3 linked regions of the Neodiprion lecontei genome follow. The protein of the gene in region 1 purifies or fractionates together with the protein of each later gene. This does not show direct contact. Links are inferred from orthologs where the notes say so. Each region holds a gene or a part of one and is shown in the gene's direction. Other genes may lie near its edges. The genes, in order: splicing factor 3B subunit 4, ATP-dependent RNA helicase DDX42 and PHD finger-like domain-containing protein 5A.

Region 1 (6,206 bases):
GAATCTCATCCTCAGATGTCTCATTTAAAGAAGAACTCTCAATTAAAGCATCCTTACCGAATGTTATGCAGATTGGATACTTTTTACTCCACCTCCTGTAACAACGAAACGTCATATTTCATATTCTAAGCTGTGCGGAGAAGAAGAAATAAGATAAATTAGAGGGTTCACATTAAAAAGTAAACAATACCAGGGATTGTATAGGCACAGCTGTGATAAGTTACCTTCTTCTTATCAGCCCTTCCGGAAGTAGTTTAATTGTGGCATTAGCAAGCGTGTAGACTTTCTTCCAAATGTATCTAACGTTCTGTTTTGGCTCGTCCCAAACTTCACGTTTTGGTATTCGCGTCTTAGTTTCCATCACCTTTAAGCTGCCTCCTTCTAATCTGAAGTAAACTGAAACTGTTCTAGCAACGTGGTAATTGTCAGGATCGTAGCTGTATGGCAGCTGATTTAGCCACCCTTCAAATCGATCCAAAACGACATGCTCCTCTGCTGCAGGTATTTCCAAAACAGAGACCTGCTCGTCGCCGCTTCTGACGTCTTCAATCTTCTGAGGTGTCATTAAAGTCTGAGTTACTAGAGCTAACGCTCTTTGAATCGTGATTGTAACAAATATTCCAGCAATGAGACCAACTATGTATTCAGGCAAAGGAATAACGTGATACGCGCCGAGAAGTATTATGGGAACGCTGATAAGCTGATAAATTATTTTCTTAAAAAGTTGAGTCAATGCAGGTTCGGACTTTACTCGCTGTGGAATAAGCTTCTCAATAGCATTCAAAGGTAGTCTGATCAGAGGTGTTTGTAATTTTTTATTACCATCCGAGCTTCGCTGAGCTTGTAAATTTTTGTCATCCAAATTAGATTTTGATAACAAATCGTCCTCGGCGAGCTCCGCAGCCTCTACTCCACTCTCAACACTATCCTCTTCAGAATTTTTTGTCTTCAGACCAGTCTTAATGTTATAGAATCCTGTGAATCTGGCGGAACGATTTTTACTGAATTTTACAGGGGATGAAGACTCCAGTTCCTGTTGTTCCGAAAGATTATCTTCAGTTGGGGTGATGTCAGCCAAGTCTTCGGAATCACTAACACTAGAATTATCTTTGCTTCTGCGTTTTTTCTTTTTCCTCTCGCTTTTAATCTCAGAAATTTTTTCCTCAAAAGTTTTTGTTATCTTTCCCTTGATTTCGGATAACATCTTCCATGGATCGGTGGGTGGTGTGCCTTCCGACAAATTTCCATCGACGCTTGCCGATCGCCTGCCCAGACTAGTGCCTTCTCCCAATTCATCCTCAGATCTATTCCGACTAGTTTTACATGGACTAGATTTTGTCGATGGGTGCTCAGACTCCGGAGTGTACAACTCGTCGTCATCTGTGCTTGGGTAAAGCTCCTCAAGTTCATTGTCACTGGCATGATACCGGATCACCGGCACCGAGGTCATTATTGGTTTACCTGTTTTAACAAAAACAATTAGCTACCATATTGTCGTCACGCTGTTGGCACAAATTGTAATTGCTACATTAGTTTAGAAATAAAATAAGTATGTAGAGGCTGGTTTGTGGAAAATAAAACACCGAATGCTGGTCATGCTAGGAATTAAGTACCAAAGATTTGATAAACATTGCAAGAGGCAATAGAGAGCGAAATAAAAATTAGTCTCGACAGACAAATACATTGAATCTCACCCTTCAGCATACCCAGGGTAACCTTTCCAGGGGTAGTTGGTTTGGAACTCATTTTTCCACAGCCACTAAAAAGCGGTCAGACAATAGTTGTAAAGCTAGAAACAAGCGAGCGGTTTCGTGTCAAACCCAAAAATTTCGATTTTATTTTCTTCTCTCTTTACTTATCACTTGTCAGATGCAAGTGTCGCGAGCAACTGCAAAGGATTGCGTTAAGTGTTCCAGAAACTTGCCGCAACAGCGTAATAAACGTACTTTAAAACTGGCTCCAACATATTCGCGGTAAACAAGTGTCAATAATCGAAAACTCTAATGAAAAACTATAACGACGCAGTATTTACGAAGTGCGTATTTTGTCGTACCGGTGGATTTTTATACTTCACATTCACAAGCGCAGACAGCTTGTGATTCCCCGCTACGCACAGCCGACTATTTCTTATTTTTTACTTTATTCCGTATTAGAGATATTACACTACTGGGAATATAAAGAACCTGCATTCCTACCCGTTGGGCATATTTATTCGGCAAACGTAAAACAGAGTCATGCTATTAGTTACACCTACAATCACGCAATGTTTGGTCGGAGTTCTCCGCGCGGTTAGTAGTTACCTTTATGCGAAAAATAATCAATTTACTTCGCGATATAGCGCAGATTTCACATCATATCTGTTTACTACCGCACATCGTCGCACACCATACACACACGTGTCACACGTCGGAATGACGAAGCTTGGACAAACTTAATCATTTAAATCGATTGTCGAATGACAATCATGGCCTCTCGATTTTTGGCTCACTTCATAGCTAGACAGCGACGCCGAGTTAAGCAGCCAAGTAAATCGTAACGTCAATCGTACGCGTTGCTTGAAAGATGGCGGCCGGTCCGATCGCCGAAAGAAATCAAGGTAATTCATAATGTTTACGAAAATTAATGGAGATTAACAATTGTCGTTTCGTTTCAAAGACCTATTTCTTGCATTTCACAAACATCGCGGATAAGTTTTCAATTGCGCATCTTTAACTCAACATTTTCTGTTACGAACAATGCACGATTTAGGTTATGTTAGGTTATGTTATCTCGTAGCTAGAAGTACTTTTGAAAGAACGTTGCCTGGAATCCTAATTTTTACTTCATTGTCGCGCATAATTATTTCTTAAGTCAATTGTGACTAATAAATAACCTGAATATGACGTATTTCCAGATGCTACAATCTATGTTGGTGGTCTTGACGACAAAGTTACGGAGTCTCTCATGTGGGAACTCTTCGTACAATCTGGCCCCGTCGGTAAGAAAAGTTTGCTATTGTCTTTTTCTTCCATTAAATTATAAGAAAAACCTGAATCATTTTCATTAAATTATGTCTCATGCTTGGCTGTTCAAAACTAACTTTCTGTTTCAGTTAACGTTCATATGCCAAAAGATAGAGTGACTCAAATGCACCAGGGATATGGGTTTGTCGAATTTATGGGGGAGGAGGATGCAGATTACGCGATCAAAATTATGAACATGATCAAGCTGTACGGGAAACCAATAAGAGTAAATAAAGCTAGCGCCCATCAGAAGAATTTGGACGTAGGAGCAAACATTTTTATTGGAAACTTGGATCCAGAAGTAGATGAAAAATTACTCTACGATACGTTTAGTGCATTTGGTGTTATTCTCCAAACACCTAAGGTAGGTTAAGTCGCTTTCAATTATCAGTAATTAAGCTGTTGCGTCTCATATATCGAAAAGAAACGTGAATAATTAACGCTCCGCATTACCCATATTTCAGATAATGCGAGATCCAGAAACAGGAAATTCAAAGGGGTTTGCCTTTATAAATTTCGCATCATTTGACGCATCAGACGCTAGCATTGAGGCGATGAATGGTCAGTACTTGTGCAACCGTCCAATCTCCGTGTCCTACGCCTTTAAGCGAGACGCGAAGGGCGAGCGTCACGGAAGTGCGGCAGAGCGTCTACTCGCAGCTCAAAATCCGCTAAGCCAAGCAGACAGGCCGCATCAATTGTTCGCGGACGCACCGCCTCTCAATCCAGTGACTCAGGCTCAGAACCCCAACATGCCGCCGCACCAGGTTCAGCACCATCCGCATCATCCTCATCACGGAATGATGCACCATCATCACGGAATGGTCGTTCCTCCCCCGCCGCCTCCCTCGACTCCTGGGCCACCGATGGGACACCATCACCACCCTCCCCCGCCTCCAGTCCCTCCTCCACCATCGGGAGGATTTCCTCCATCCAACATTCCACCTCCTCCATTACCACCGATGTCAGGAATGCACCAATCGCATCCCCCTCTTCCCCCAGGGATGCCACCTCCTCTGCCTCCTATGCCTGTACCAAACTCGCAGCAGCAGCAAGCTGCTCGCATGATGCCGCCTCCGCCACACTGGGGACCACAGGGCCAGTTTCCTCCTCCGCCTCCCCCAGGCAGTGCTGGTGGACCACAGTATGGACAGTTTCAACCGCCGCCTAGACCTCCTCCAGGGTGGCGCCATCCACCACCTCCGCCTGCTTCGCAAGGAGGGCCTCCCCCCCCTCCGCCGCCGCAATTCAGGCCGCCATTCCCACCGAGAGGCCCACCACCTCCACCACCTCCGCATGAAACGGGACAGTACTGATTTGGGACTTATAAATTGAATGTTTTATAACAAATGATTGACTTGATTGAATAAAATGTAAATCTGTATTATATTAATATTTTTGCTGGATCGAGAGAAAAGAAGTTATGTTACATAGTCGTGCCTCTTTAGAAATTTAAGATTTTTAAACTTTTTCCACCAATCTACGATTTCGGTCAAATGTCACAACGCTTTTGCATTATTTTTTTTTTATTTTAATTATTTGTTGCAGACAGGTAAACTAATTTCGGCAAACATGATACTGAACACGGAGAACGAAGAACTCGAAAATCCCAATTTACTTCACTCCTCCATCCCGATTATTCGTTAGAATCGTACAAATTTGAACTGTGCAACATTGCTCGTTTGCAACAAGTGATTTAAATGCGCCACAGTCAGCTCGAACTATCTTAGCACCCTGGTACGGTCAGTTGGTCAGTATCGACCGCACCTACCTGGCGTAAATTGTACGAGGGACATTCGTCGCATCGATTATTTCGCATTTGTGCCGTCTAGACTACCATCGTAGCCATGTCCTTTTCCGCGACGTAAACTTAATTCGTAACTGGTATGTTAAAAATTTGTTCAGTTTTACGAGGCACGTGGTAAACGATCGTTTCATCTGTTGCACATTGACTCTGAGCCAAATAATCATCTTTCTTGTGATCGAACTTGCAAAGCTTTGACCGTGAGGTGATTATCCCTATTTAAAGCGCGTTGCGCAAGTTCGAACACCCCAGTTAAACACGACAAACTCCCATAAAATCAGCAGCCATCAATCGCACGGTGATTACTGTCGTTAATCACGGGAACTTTCGTTATATGCAAAACAAAATGCACAGTGATTCGAACTTTTGCTAATGCACCGGGGTTCAAATTTATCCATCAAACAGGATCGCTTCGTATTTTAATAATATGTTTTTACGGTGGCAAGTGAAGTACACGGATATAAATTATCACTGTGTAAACGACTCAATCAGTGAGTATAATAATTTGTGGCTAATTTTAAAATTCTGTGTGACAAATTAAACGACCGTATCAATGTTGCTCAAACGTGTCTGAAGTAAGTGCAGGTAATTTTAATCGTACAATGGCGCGTCCGATATACGAGTGCAATTTCGGACTGCGTAGTGAGAATTACACAGCCAGTGGTCCGATATTTTGTACAATCAACAAGCAATACTGCTGCAACTCACAATGTTGCCTTGTACAGCGAAGACCGACTCGCCAGCTTTGGGAAGCCTGGTACTTTTGGCTCGGACTCGCTTTGCTCGCTCTATTTCTGCTCACATCGGTAAGATAATGTTTATTTTGTATTATTATATAGTTAATAATACAACGAAACGACCTTGATGACGGTTGTAAAATTTATTATTCATTTCACAAGCATCGGAGAGTCTGTGATATTCATATCGGAAGGATTTCAAAAAGTTTCCCGCCAGAATTACAAACCCGCTTGAATGTGGAAAAATTTTTGAGACGATGTTAAACCGATGAATGAAAGCCGCGTGACAAATTCTAGAAAAATTTATTCCATCAATGACCATAGGAATTATCAATTTCTATCAACCGAAGTTACGATGGCTGTTATTTTTCTTTGACCATAAGTTCAAATGACAGTTTAAACCTTTCAACAGGCAAATTCAATCATTCGAAACGTATTCCATCCGAAACTGTTAATTACGTTTCTCATCTCAGCTTGGTCAGCGATATCGAGGCGTTAAATCGAGCTTACATCTCAGCCGGGTTTTCTGTCGGAATAGAAAGCCAGAAACGTCAATTATATTACTTTATTACACATAGCTTGTGCATTGCACACGAACGAACCATGCTGAGATCCTGGCGGGGCGCCGGCAATTAAACGAGCGTCTTAGTCGCGCCGGAAGTT
Region 2 (6,461 bases), about 34 Mb from region 1:
CTGATACTGATCCTTCTTCATCAAATATTATAAAAATGTTAAACTCACCGAGCACAAATCCTCATCCTCCTTGTCCACCTTGTTCTCCTCGTCCAGCTCGACTACCTCCAACCACCACCAACGACCACCGCTGACCACCTCGGGTTATACCTCGAATACTAATAAATATTACAAGTATTAGATCTCATCAAAAATATTGTGTAAGGATTAATGTAATTTTTTTAAGGTCACATTTTACCCAGAAGTTTATGAGAAAATTATGAAAAATTATTGGAATTTTACTAGCGCATTGATAGCTAATGAATTTGGGCTTGCACGAAAAATGAATTGAAATAATTTATTGTGAACATGACAGGTTTAACCAGAATTACGGAAAATTAGTCCTGAAGGTCGAACGTTACCAGGTCAAGGACCGGGACAGCCAGAACTACGGAGCGCTTCTCCTGGATGTCAAGATCCATCAGGTGGAGGACCTGGACAGATAGAACTACGGAAAATTAGTCCTGAAGTCGAGTAACATCAGGTGGAGGATCTCAACAGCCAAATCTACGGAAAATTAGTCCTGAAGGTCGAACGTTACCAGGTCAAGGACCTGGACCACTAGAACCACGGAGCGCTTGTCTTGGAAGTCGAGTTTCACCAGGTAGCGGACCTGGAGCGCAGGAAGTACGGAGCGCTTGTTCCTGAAGTCGAGTTTCACCAGGTAATGGACCTTGAGCGCAGAAACTACGGAGCGGTTGTCCTGGAAGTCGAGTTTCACCAGGTAGTGGACCTGGAGCGCAGGGACCACGGAGCGCTTGTCCTGGAACTCGCGTTGCATCAGGAAGCGGACCCGGAGCGCAGGATCCAGGAGGTAGAGAACCCGGAACTCGAAATCTGCGGAGCGCGATTCTCATACGTCCTCTCTACTGCGCGGTTGTTACCAGACTGAGGAATTCGGCTAACTGATTTTCGTCTATATAGATCGATGACGTCAAGGGAAAAAAAATTCTAAAATTCTGAAACTGATTGCATCGAGTTGAATAACACGATCGATTTGCTGTTAACTGTGTTGCTTCACCCGTTTCCAAGATCACGAATTTACACATCTAAACTCCTGGAGTCTTTGGAGATTTTTCGAATTTTAAATTGCATCAGTTGGAATCGAGGTTTGGGTAATATTTAGAGTGCAGGCTTTCGATGTTTTTCATATTTTTCGTATAATTCCGCAAACAAAAACACGTTTCCCACATATCAGTGGTAATATCTAACGTTGATAATTTTTCTTAAAGATAAGCAATGGATCATGGGGTACAGAAGACTCCAAGTTTTCGGATGATTTTGCAACCAATCGTTTACTTATTCTTGACATCTATACCAAATTCCAAAGCCACGTATCTGTACTTTTTGGGTTGACACACTTTTCAATTAACAATAATAAAATTCTATCACGCGTACTTGTAACACTAAATATTCCAAAAAAGATCTTTTTATATGGTAAGGGTGATCCCCAAGGATTGCTTTCCAAAAGAGGCAGGCGATACGTTTAATGCAATAGTCAAACTTTTATAAATCCGTGCAAAGAAATTCTCGGGTTATCTTCTTGTTATGTACTACAGTGCAAAGTGTAACTATATTCATTTCAATTTCCTTCGATGCGGAATAACAGATTATAACTACGTGTTCCGACAAAGTAGCGATGTAACGATTCAAATCAAAGTATTACCTCGCGCTTACTACAGTTTCATTTCAATCGCTATTTCAAGTCGTACTTATACATGTACGCATACTCGCGTGCAGTTTTTACTTTCCCATTTTTATCTACGTATTTTCTCGCCTTTGTAAAATATAGATAGTTGTTGGTTATGAAGAACTTCATTTACCGATGTGGTTAGTTATTTGGTTGATAATACGTGAAACTGCTATTGCCCCCAAGTCTAAATATAGTCAGCTGCGATGGCGTATTGCGCATGCGTTATTAGAAAGAGAGAAAGAGAACTTTGTTATCTGCTCGTAGCGTGATTTCGGACATTTTTATTCTATACCAGTGCTGCTGCAGGCGGTCTGTAGATTCATCGAGATTCACTCGTTCGCAAAGAGGTTAATTCGGTCGTCCAGTGTCCGGTGCCATCGACCACCTTACCATTGTTAAATGTAACAGTGATCGTAATTTTATTCGAATATCGCCAGATTAATGTGAGTAAAGTACCACAGAATTTCAATTAATTATATGGGCACCCTTAGTCGAATAGCGGGAAATTACATTCTTGCTTCATTCGTAGAGTAAACCTTGTACTTAACCTAACCGGGCTGAGTATACAGTTTTGCTATTTGGTATCCTTTCCTGAAATATTTACCGTACACCAAGTTGAAGTTGACTTTGTATTTACAACGATTTTATGATAGCACTGAAAAATGAGTTACCACCGGGGAGGTGGTAACAAGCCAAAGGGCTTTGGCTTCGCTGGATTTCAGATGGCTGGAACCAAGAGAAGCGGCGTCAACATTCCGCCACCCCCGAACAACTCAACTCTCAGCAAACAAGGCTATCATACAATGAATTCTATAACCGAGAACGCTCTATCTGCAAACTGGGGGATACCTAAAAAGCGAAGCAAAACTGAGGAAGAGTAAGTGTTGTTCAGTTGGTAGTTACTATTATTATTGAAGTTTCCCAGATAGGATTTAGTTTAAAAAGTAAGTCGATTATAAAATCAATTTACATAATCAGATATTTTGAGGATGATGACGATGCGCCGACTTCCTCATTGGAATATATCCCTGCGCCGGGTTCTCCGACCTACGAACTTATGAAGAAAGACAATCGAAAACAGGAAAGTGACAGTGACGAGGATCCACTCGACGCGTTTATGGCTGGAATCGACGCTGAAGTTAAAAAGAATACATTCGAAGCTGAGCTGGCTGAAGAGATGAGAATGGAAGACAAATCCAAGGGAATCAGAACTGACATCGATGATGAAGACGACGAGGAGAGTTACTACAAGTAATATTTTATTTATAAAAAAGCATACGACGTCTTCCATTCGCTAAAAATTCCATATTGTAAACAATCACAAGAAAGTTCAAAGTGGTGTGATAAAAATGACTGCATTTCGTTTTTCAGATATATGGAAGAAAACCCTACAGCAGGGCTTCAGCAAGATGACTCGGATCAGGAGATTGAGTATGACGAAGATGGGAACCCAATACCACCACCAAAAAAGAAGGACATTGATCCCTTGCCTCCGATTGATCACAGTGAAATAAACTACGAACCATTTGAAAAGAATTTCTATAATGTACACGAGGAGATTGCAAATTTAAACAAGCAGCAAGTCGAGGACTTACGGCAGACCTTGGGAATCAAAGTGACCGGTCCTTCTGCGCCCAATCCAGTCACCAGCTTTGCACATTTCGGATTCGACGATGCTTTGATAAAGTCGATTAGAAAAAACGAGTATACTCAGCCGACTCCCATTCAGGCACAAGCAATACCTGCTGCTCTGAGTGGCCGGGATTTGATAGGAATTGCTAAAACTGGTAGTGGAAAAACAGCGGCGTTTATTTGGCCGATGTTGGTGCACATTATGGATCAGCAAGAACTAAAGCCAGGCGATGGGCCAATCGGTCTGATATTAGCGCCAACCAGAGAATTATCACAGCAGGTAAAATTTGTAGCAACGATAATTTACCGTCAGTTGTAGAAAATGACAAATTATAAACTTTAATAATTACCTGGAAAATTATCTTCTTGCAGATATACCAAGAGGCTAAGAAATTTGGCAAGGTATATAACATACAAGTATGCTGTTGCTACGGAGGTGGCAGTAAATGGGAGCAAAGCAAAGCCTTGGAAGGAGGTGCGGAAATAGTCGTTGCTACTCCTGGTCGAATGATCGATTTGGTCAAGATGAAGGCTACCAATTTGGCCAGAGTTTCGTTTCTCGTGCTTGACGAAGCTGACAGAATGTTTGACATGGGTTTTGGTGAGTGAGCAGCCAGGCGATATCCTTTACATTGAAACATCAAAAGTCATTACTGTTCTGTACAAACAAACTCATTTTTATCACATACAATGTTCAGAACCACAGGTAAGGTCGATTTGCAACCATGTCAGACCAGACAGACAAACGCTACTGTTCAGTGCGACTTTTAAGAAGAGGGTTGAAAAACTGGCGCGTGACGTGCTCACGGATCCTATAAGGATTGTTCAAGGAGATGTAGGAGAAGCTAACACAGACGTGACGCAACACGTTGTCATGTTCAACAGTAATCCTGCTGCCAAATGGTCTTGGCTACTGCATAACATTGTTGAATTTCTCAGCGCTGGTAGTCTACTCATATTTGTAACTAAAAAGGTGCGGAATATTATAATAAACCAACGAGAATCAGTTACGGCAAATAAACACAGGCTACGATCTTTGAGCGTTTTTCAATTTTTGATCTTAGCTAAACGCTGAGGAGGTCTCGAACAATCTAAAATTGAAGGAATTCGATGTTCTCCTGTTGCACGGTGATATGGACCAGATCGAACGAAACAAAGTTATCACTGCTTTCAAGAAACAAGAAATAAGTATACTTGTCGCTACCGATGTCGCAGGTAAGCTACATCTGTGACAGAAATAACGATATTGAAATTTACTATTCAAAGAAATCTCTCAACTGATTTTGCAATTCCCCCTGATTTTTTACGTCGAGATACCTTTTATGAGAACAAAGCAGACGTGTGGTCTGAAGTTTTTCTATATGGTATATTTATCGCAATACTCTTAACTTCAGCTCGTGGCTTGGATATCCCTCACATAAAAACGGTACTGAATTACGATGTGGCGCGCGACATAGACACGCACACACACAGGATAGGAAGGACAGGTCGAGCAGGAGAAAAGGGAACAGCGTTCACTCTGGTCACTGACAAAGATAAAGAATTCGCTGGTCATTTAGTGAGAAATTTAGAGGGAGCGAATCAAGATGTACCGAAAGGTCTGCTCGATCTGGCCTTGCAAAGTGCCTGGTTCCGAAAATCGAGATTTAAAGGTGGAAAAGGCAAAAGCTTGAACGTCGGTGGTGCAGGACTCGGGTTCAGAGGTCGAGTGTCCGATGGAACAAACAGTGGACAGGTTTGTTGCAAACACGTAATTGTAAGTACACGTTTGTACACCGTTAATTCATCTTCAATTCTACAGAGTGGCGGATCCTCGAATCCGGCATCGAAGGACATCAGCGAAGTAGTCAAAAAATTGGAGAGACATGGACCGGGAAGCGATCGACTCTCGGCGATGAAAGCTGCCTTCAAAAGCCAGTACAACACTCAGGTATGATCTTATATTGTAATCGCTGCCACCTGCCGAACCGTTCGAAAATTATTTAATTATTTGTTTGTTTTTTGTTATAGTTCCGTGCGTCTTCGGATCACACGTGGGAGCAAACGATTCAGCCAGCATCTGTCGTGATGCCCCCGCCTCCGCCAATGCTACCCTCTTCTTCACCTCCTACGTCAGCCGCCGGTCTCAGCGAGCAGTCGGAGGGCCAGGAATATCAGAATTCTAACTCTGCGGCAACGGGAGAGAGGCGGAGGGTCAGAAAGAGTCGATGGGAGTGAGTCGGATTAAAATTGCTGCCAAGCCATATCAGTGAGCCCAAATCTACGATTATTCTATCATCGCAAATACACCGACTGCAAAGCCTGTTTTGTTTTATATTATTATAATGAAAATAAATCCTCATTTTACCAATTCTGTGCGAGTCGTGTGCCAATTTGATCCTTAGGTTCCTGTTTAATCATATTTATTGATATACGAAAGATAAAGTTGATTCAACGATCATACATCTTTTACATTAGTTTGTCCTCTGCACGAGTTACATAATTTTCTATTTCCAACAACGATCAGATTTATAGGAAAGGGTTCACAGCATCCAGTAAATGGTCTTTTAGCTTGTTTCGCATTCACCCAAAACTCCTAGCATGATCAATTTACACTCAAGATACAAATGCGATCCGCTATAAGATGATTTAGGGCTCCGCTGTGATCCGCAATATTTATGTATTTGCCAGAGAAACAATAGAATTAGGCAAGATGTACTTCTCAATGGTCAAATTTATACTGCTTGTATTGTAACATATAGTGCTAATCGCAGATTACTAGTTATCTAGTACATCATATTATTTCCGATACAATAATGAGTCGTTTAGATTTATCTCTATTTTTAATATAAAACTGCAATCATAAAAAAAAAAAATGTCTAACCGAGGAGTCAACTACTGTCCAATTACGGAGCAACAACTGTCTAACTATACTTGTTCTAATCTTTATCTCAACATCTCCTGTGAACTTTTGTGGCAATGTATAGAAAGAATAAGGTCATCAGCGGTTAACTCCTCGCAAAAAATTATAAAAAAATTAATATATGTATAATCGTTACGAAAACGTAATGAATATTTGCTTTATCGATCTACAATACATACTGTATGCAGAGAATAT
Region 3 (5,780 bases), about 6.0 Mb from region 1:
TATTTCTGTCGACAGTGCAGTTTATAGCACAGCATAGCGGAATCAGAGAACTTGACTCATCGGTTGAAGCGCGAGTATTTAGTGACCGTGCAATATTTTTTAAACAATCTTTACAGGGTTCAACTTTGCTCGGTTATGGTATAACTATTGGGGGTAACTAATGATACTTGGCACCAAAATGGTCGGGAATCGAATTTAGTAGGGAAATAGGAAAGTTGGCTAATTCATATTTCAATGCATAGAGAGAAAGGATGTGATTCTTCATCATTATTGTTCTTTGCTTTTTTTTTTTTTTTTCTTTCACGTTTTGCCAATGAAAGTAACCAATCTTCAAAGCCCGATGAGAAACTTACCACAATTGGTTCAACACCAGGACCGCACTTCAAAGCAAGTTTGTCAATTATAAAAGAAATTCGTTAATACAATTGGCCTTTCGATGATTCTTATTTATCTTGGGAAGGGGAAAAAAGCCAATGCTTCGCCGTAACTCTAGTAATCTTGTTGTCCCTCTATGCTGTCTCTTAAAACCAAATTAATCCTAGAAAATTTGATGTGATCGGTAAGACGTACCAAGGGCTCGTTGGACTTAATAAGCTCCACAATTTTTATGATTTCATCATCTTCGTCAACTTCCAGGGGTAGTTCAGGAATTTTTGGGTAGTATTCCTTTTTCGCAACTGCGTCATGAGTGCATAGCAGAGCCTGAAAATCCAAGGGTGTGAATGGATTTAACTTTTTTTCTTTTTGTCGCTTGTTCGAAATGAGTGCCGTGAATAAGTTTGTTTCATCCGTGAAAGTTCGTTTAATTGTTCCAAGCATGATACTTGATATTTGTAAAAGAAGGATATATATCGAAATTGAATTGCTATCATCTCTTTCCTCCCTAAATTAAATTATTATTGCAGAATGAAAAGATTTTTCATTTGAAATTTCTCCTTGTATTTTTTAATTTCATTGATTTCCTTCTCTTACCTGCATATGACGGTTCTGTAATAAAAGAAATAGTTGCTTGCAATCTGCGGATCCACGTGTTTTTGGCACAAGTACATCCAAAACGTCGATGTTGACGTCCATGGAGTTTGATAATACAGGAAAGAATTTGTCATCATTGGAGAGATTTATGATCTTGTTGTGAACGTTAACCAACGCGTTAAGCTCCTTCGACTTTAATATTTCACTGAGAAAATTAAGCTCCTCCTCGCTGCAACTTGGGAGTTCAGTCTTATTATCTTCCAGTGAATTGAGAAGCTTTGATAAGGCTGAAAATGAAATGAAAAACCTAAAATTTAATACCATACAGCATGAGTACCTGTACAGAGAAATAGAAATAGGAGATAAGCATAAAAACTGTGTATAACCGAGCTTCAAGACTATTCTATAAATAGTTATTGTCTATTTACAAGTTTGATGTAAGGACTCGAGAACCTGTCCAGCTTGAAAGATCAACAAGATTTCACAGCTTTGCTTACTTCTAGTTTAGAACGAACGGTTTAAAATGTCAATAGAATTGATTTGAAAAGTCCTACCCAATTGAGACAATTACTTACGAGAGAATTTCAATTAAAAATCTATATACAAATAAAACTGACTAATGTAGCGCAGATATTTTTCATTGACTTTCGGTGATTCTTTACATGAAAATTGCATACCGTGGTGAAAATATTCAATTCTTCAACACATTTTCAGCCAATGTCGTGAAACCAGAACAAATTATCAAGGGGTAGAAATAACGAAATAATTTAAAGACTCACCTGCATCCCAATTAGAATTATCCATTACGGGACTTGCGACCCGTCATTCACCCCGAAATCGTTCGCGCAATAAAGAGGGCAGGATTGAGAAATGATACAAAATTTACTACGGTCGAATATCACCCTATTCCTTCCCTCCGAGTTGAAGCCTTACTACTTTTTTCTCACGTACATAATACGTACGCGTAAATACGCGCGATGTCCAAAAATACGCACACGACCGACACTTCGCACTGTGCTCTAACATGCCAAATAATGCCAAACTGCAGTCAGCGAACGCGCTACGAGGAAGCTAATTCTGGTACTTGGATTGGTAAATTCGTGCATCCGAGGATTGCAGCTGTCTGAATTATTCCCTCTAATCTGATTGTCACTGGTCACTGCGGATCCATCAGCGAATATATTCTGAATTTGGGTGCGAGGGGGTGAGTGAGTGAGTCTGCGTTGACTGAAGAATTTAAATCTGTTACCCTTGGATAAATTTTTGTGACCAATACTCAGCAAGTGGAATTGGAGTGATCTGAAGCTTCTTTATCGGCGGAGGCCTTTTATCACATAATCACATAAGTACACAAAATCTTGTTAGCATAGCCGTCCAGTCTTCAGTCAATAGTCTATGACAATTTATGAGTGCGTTCCAAAACTAACTGGCAGCGCTGAAAACTCCCTAGGACTAAAACCAGCTACGAACTCTATAGCGAAAAACGACGTAAGATAGTTGACAGCACCGGGGGCTGATTTCGAAACGCATGATGTGGATTACCGAATGTGTCTAAATGAGAGAGAGCATAAACGAAATAGAAGACTTGTGCTTTCAGTTCTCTCTCTCTCGCTCTCTCTGATAGTTTGATTATTTGTGTGAAATACGGGAATATAACGTTTGTCTCAATTCCATCTACGTTTCGTTTAATCTTTCATTTCAATAATCATAGCAAGTTTAAATTTCAAATTCCTTGTATTTGCGTTTGAAAATGTACCCTCTAGTGGCGGGTGAAGGTACCGATGTTGAAAATTAATTTGATACCGATACATCCGTTTTCGGTAAGGTCGGCCTTTTTGAAAAGTTGCAAGTTGATATTGACAAAATAATTTAAGTATTCTGAGGTATCCGAAGGACGCTAATCATTCCAAAGCATGGCTAAGCATCATCCAGATTTGATATTTTGTAGGAAACAGCCGGGCGTTGGTAAGTTGTTTGAAAAATAGCGTAAGACTTGATCGCAATGCTGATCATTACTATCTCCGCTCGTTTCGAGATTTTATGACTTATTTCATTGCTAATAATAGCTCGTGAAACACGTATGGCTACTGGTATTATCGTTTTCGAAACTGCGACCTTGAAAATATTACTTCATGGTTCATTCTGCCGATTCTACAAGTTGACATAACCTAACATCACCCTAGCCAACCTGGCTTCACCTGTGAATAATTTTCTACAAACAATTTGAATTTTCCGTCTCCAGCTATTGGTCGATTATGTGAAAAGTGTGATGGAAAATGTGTAATCTGCGACTCGTATGTGAGGCCTTGTACACTGGTACGAATTTGTGACGAATGTAATTACGGATCTTACCAAGGCCGTTGCGTTATCTGCGGAGGACCCGGTGTATCTGATGCATATTACTGCAAAGAATGTACAATTCAAGAAAAAGATGTACGTAAGATCGTTATCATAGATTCAAATTGGCGACGCTGAAAATGCTAATTCTTTAAATATTTACGACAGAGAGACGGGTGCCCGAAAATTGTAAACCTGGGAAGTTCGAAAACGGATCTATTCTACGAAAGGAAAAAGTATGGATTTAAACGACGATAGATGTAATTATGTGTATAAGTATAGACTACAACATCTCGGTATCTGTAAGTTATGATGTGTGAAATGAGAATGAATGAGGATGGAACATTGCGTTCTGTGTTTTTATAATAAACGGTTGAATTATATTCGTACATCTGTATTTCGTCTTTATTCTTATTTATGACGAGGCAACGACAGGCAAAATCATTGGACCGATTCCTAATTACATTTCCTGTCCGTCGATCCCCTGCAGAGATTTGGATTTAGACAAGGGATAATTGGAAAATGAAAGTTGATCGTGAAAAGTTATATTTGATTTTTATTTAAATATAGCTCTATTCATTTGTCATCAACATTATTCTACGAATGAATTATGTTTTCCTAATTTTTTTTACAATTTGTTTTCGTCCTTTTACGTTATATTTGCACACAACGTACTTTAAAGTTTTTGAATACGTTTAAAACCACATATCTAAAGAAATAGTGTTAGAAGAATAATGCACGCAGATCAAACAATCTTTATTAACACAGACGTTACATTTTGGCACGCAATTTTGAGGGCACGATTTTTGCTAAAGAAAAACTTGTCTTTCACCGTTTCACAAGTATTATATATGAGAGAACTTCTGCAAAGAGGTTTTTCCAAAAGACTGTACTTACATTTGCAAAAAGCCATGTTTTTTAGAAATACATAACTGTTTAAAAAGACTGCATAAAATATTCAAATTTTCAATTCTCTAGGCGATTCCACTTGCATTACTCTTCTGCTACAGTGTCTGACTTAGCGTATGACTATTACAATCCAATAGTTTATTTAGTAACAATTTCAGTTACCTGTACCAATTATTAAACATTTTCTAACAGTTTTACTAACATTGTTGAAAGTCATATGTGTCGTATTATATTTGTATTCGTCAGGCTATTTAACTGAGAATATGAACACTTTTATTCTAATCTTTGTTCGATAAATATCAATCGAAACTTTGAAACCAATACCGATTATTTCTACCCTTATACTTAGGGAAATATGTAAGTTTAATAATAAAGCTGTTGAAATTCATTTCATATCGTTGATTCAATTCACTTTAACTTGGGCACAAACTTATTTGGTAAAATATTACCCTATTTGGCCAATATTCAATACTGTTGAGCTGCATTAGTTATTTCTTATCAAGTCATTTTCTAGTAGACGGTATTGTCAGTAAAATTATTAGAGAAGAGAATTAAAGTTTTTACAATGATAAACCACGAGTGATAGACCAACTACTTGCAATTCATAACCTACTGAAAATTCGATATAACTTTGATCGACTATTTTTTTTTCTCTTTTTTGGTATACATATATACCTATATATATATTTTTCTTTACTTTAAACACTAATCAATTAATCTATCATCGCTAACATGCATGAGATGGTTAGTTTTCAGTATTGTACTTCTCAGCTGTAATTTATGATTAACAACCGACGTGATCATCGGTTATTATCATTGTAATAATCGCTCTTTTTACTATTCACAAATTCACTATTCTACATGTTAAAGATCGATGGGTGCCGCGTAAGCTAATTCTTAGCAATACACAAAGCCATTCGATTGGTCATACGATATACTTATCAAAAAATTTGATTAATCGTAAAGAGCAAATACTTGAAATCTTTTCTCTGTATTTAAACATCATTGCAGCTATTGAATTTTACTTCTGAGGACAGTAAGACGTAAGCAATATTACCCTACGTCTGTACTTGTTTACATATAAACTTTACGCTAATGACAAATATGAGATTCTAAAATCCAATATTTTTTAGGATCCTAACATTTATATTTAGTTCTTATTAAACTGACCGTGAAATTGGCCAAGTGTTAATTTAATTCAATATCCCTCATATTAAGAGTATTAAACTTATTAGAAAGGAAAAAAGAAAATTCACGCTATTGGACGATTGCGATGAAGAAAAAAAAAAAGAAAAATAATCTTACAAGCGAACTAATTTTAATAATCTACATATTTTAACGCCAAGCGATACATTTTTATGTTTACTTGATGGGGTTTTTTCTACACCAGCACCATTAGTAATTGTTTCTACAACAATTAATAAAAGACGATAAAATTATAATTACAGGACTTTTCTACATTGAAATGCTATTATTTCGTATTATAACATCGACATCAATCTCATTGTGTAAGCATAACGTCTGGACGGGGCGGGAGGGCCATAGGTTCCTACCAAAATTTA

Evidence for each region.
Region 2: the proteins of splicing factor 3B subunit 4 (region 1) and ATP-dependent RNA helicase DDX42 purify together in Homo sapiens (affinity purification with mass spectrometry; 3 studies listed by BioGRID and IntAct, with this or other methods). This does not show direct contact. The link is inferred for Neodiprion lecontei from reciprocal best matches to the Homo sapiens genes SF3B4 and DDX42.
Region 3: the proteins of splicing factor 3B subunit 4 (region 1) and PHD finger-like domain-containing protein 5A purify together in Homo sapiens (affinity purification with mass spectrometry; 6 studies listed by BioGRID and IntAct, with this or other methods). This does not show direct contact. The link is inferred for Neodiprion lecontei from reciprocal best matches to the Homo sapiens genes SF3B4 and PHF5A.

The regions. Positions count from the first base shown.
Region 1 is NC_060261.1:8,362,672-8,368,877, forward strand, and holds splicing factor 3B subunit 4, read left to right. Parts: upstream 1-2,452; 5' UTR 2,453-2,562; coding exon 2,563-2,596; intron 2,597-2,893; coding exon 2,894-2,977; intron 2,978-3,091; coding exon 3,092-3,366; intron 3,367-3,466; coding exon 3,467-4,318; 3' UTR 4,319-4,389; downstream 4,390-6,206. Other genes in the region: testis-expressed protein 2, read right to left, coding at 1-95, 225-1,461, 1,695-1,746; uncharacterized protein LOC107218135, read left to right, coding at 5,409-5,612. UniProt on the Homo sapiens protein: Component of the 17S U2 SnRNP complex of the spliceosome, a large ribonucleoprotein complex that removes introns from transcribed pre-mRNAs.
Region 2 is NC_060261.1:42,758,581-42,765,041, reverse strand, and holds ATP-dependent RNA helicase DDX42, read left to right. Parts: upstream 1-2,007; 5' UTR 2,008-2,175; intron 2,176-2,385; 5' UTR 2,386-2,394; coding exon 2,395-2,609; intron 2,610-2,710; coding exon 2,711-2,983; intron 2,984-3,103; coding exon 3,104-3,644; intron 3,645-3,736; coding exon 3,737-3,965; intron 3,966-4,062; coding exon 4,063-4,337; intron 4,338-4,428; coding exon 4,429-4,579; intron 4,580-4,758; coding exon 4,759-5,099; intron 5,100-5,165; coding exon 5,166-5,294; intron 5,295-5,374; coding exon 5,375-5,581; 3' UTR 5,582-6,203; downstream 6,204-6,461. UniProt on the Homo sapiens protein: ATP-dependent RNA helicase that binds to partially double-stranded RNAs (dsRNAs) in order to unwind RNA secondary structures. Unwinding is promoted in the presence of single-strand binding proteins.
Region 3 is NC_060261.1:2,319,496-2,325,275, forward strand, and holds PHD finger-like domain-containing protein 5A, read left to right. Parts: upstream 1-2,638; 5' UTR 2,639-2,885; coding exon 2,886-2,937; intron 2,938-3,214; coding exon 3,215-3,405; intron 3,406-3,477; coding exon 3,478-3,567; 3' UTR 3,568-4,201; downstream 4,202-5,780. Other genes in the region: MAGUK p55 subfamily member 7, read right to left, coding at 354-380, 571-702, 973-1,259, 1,752-1,776.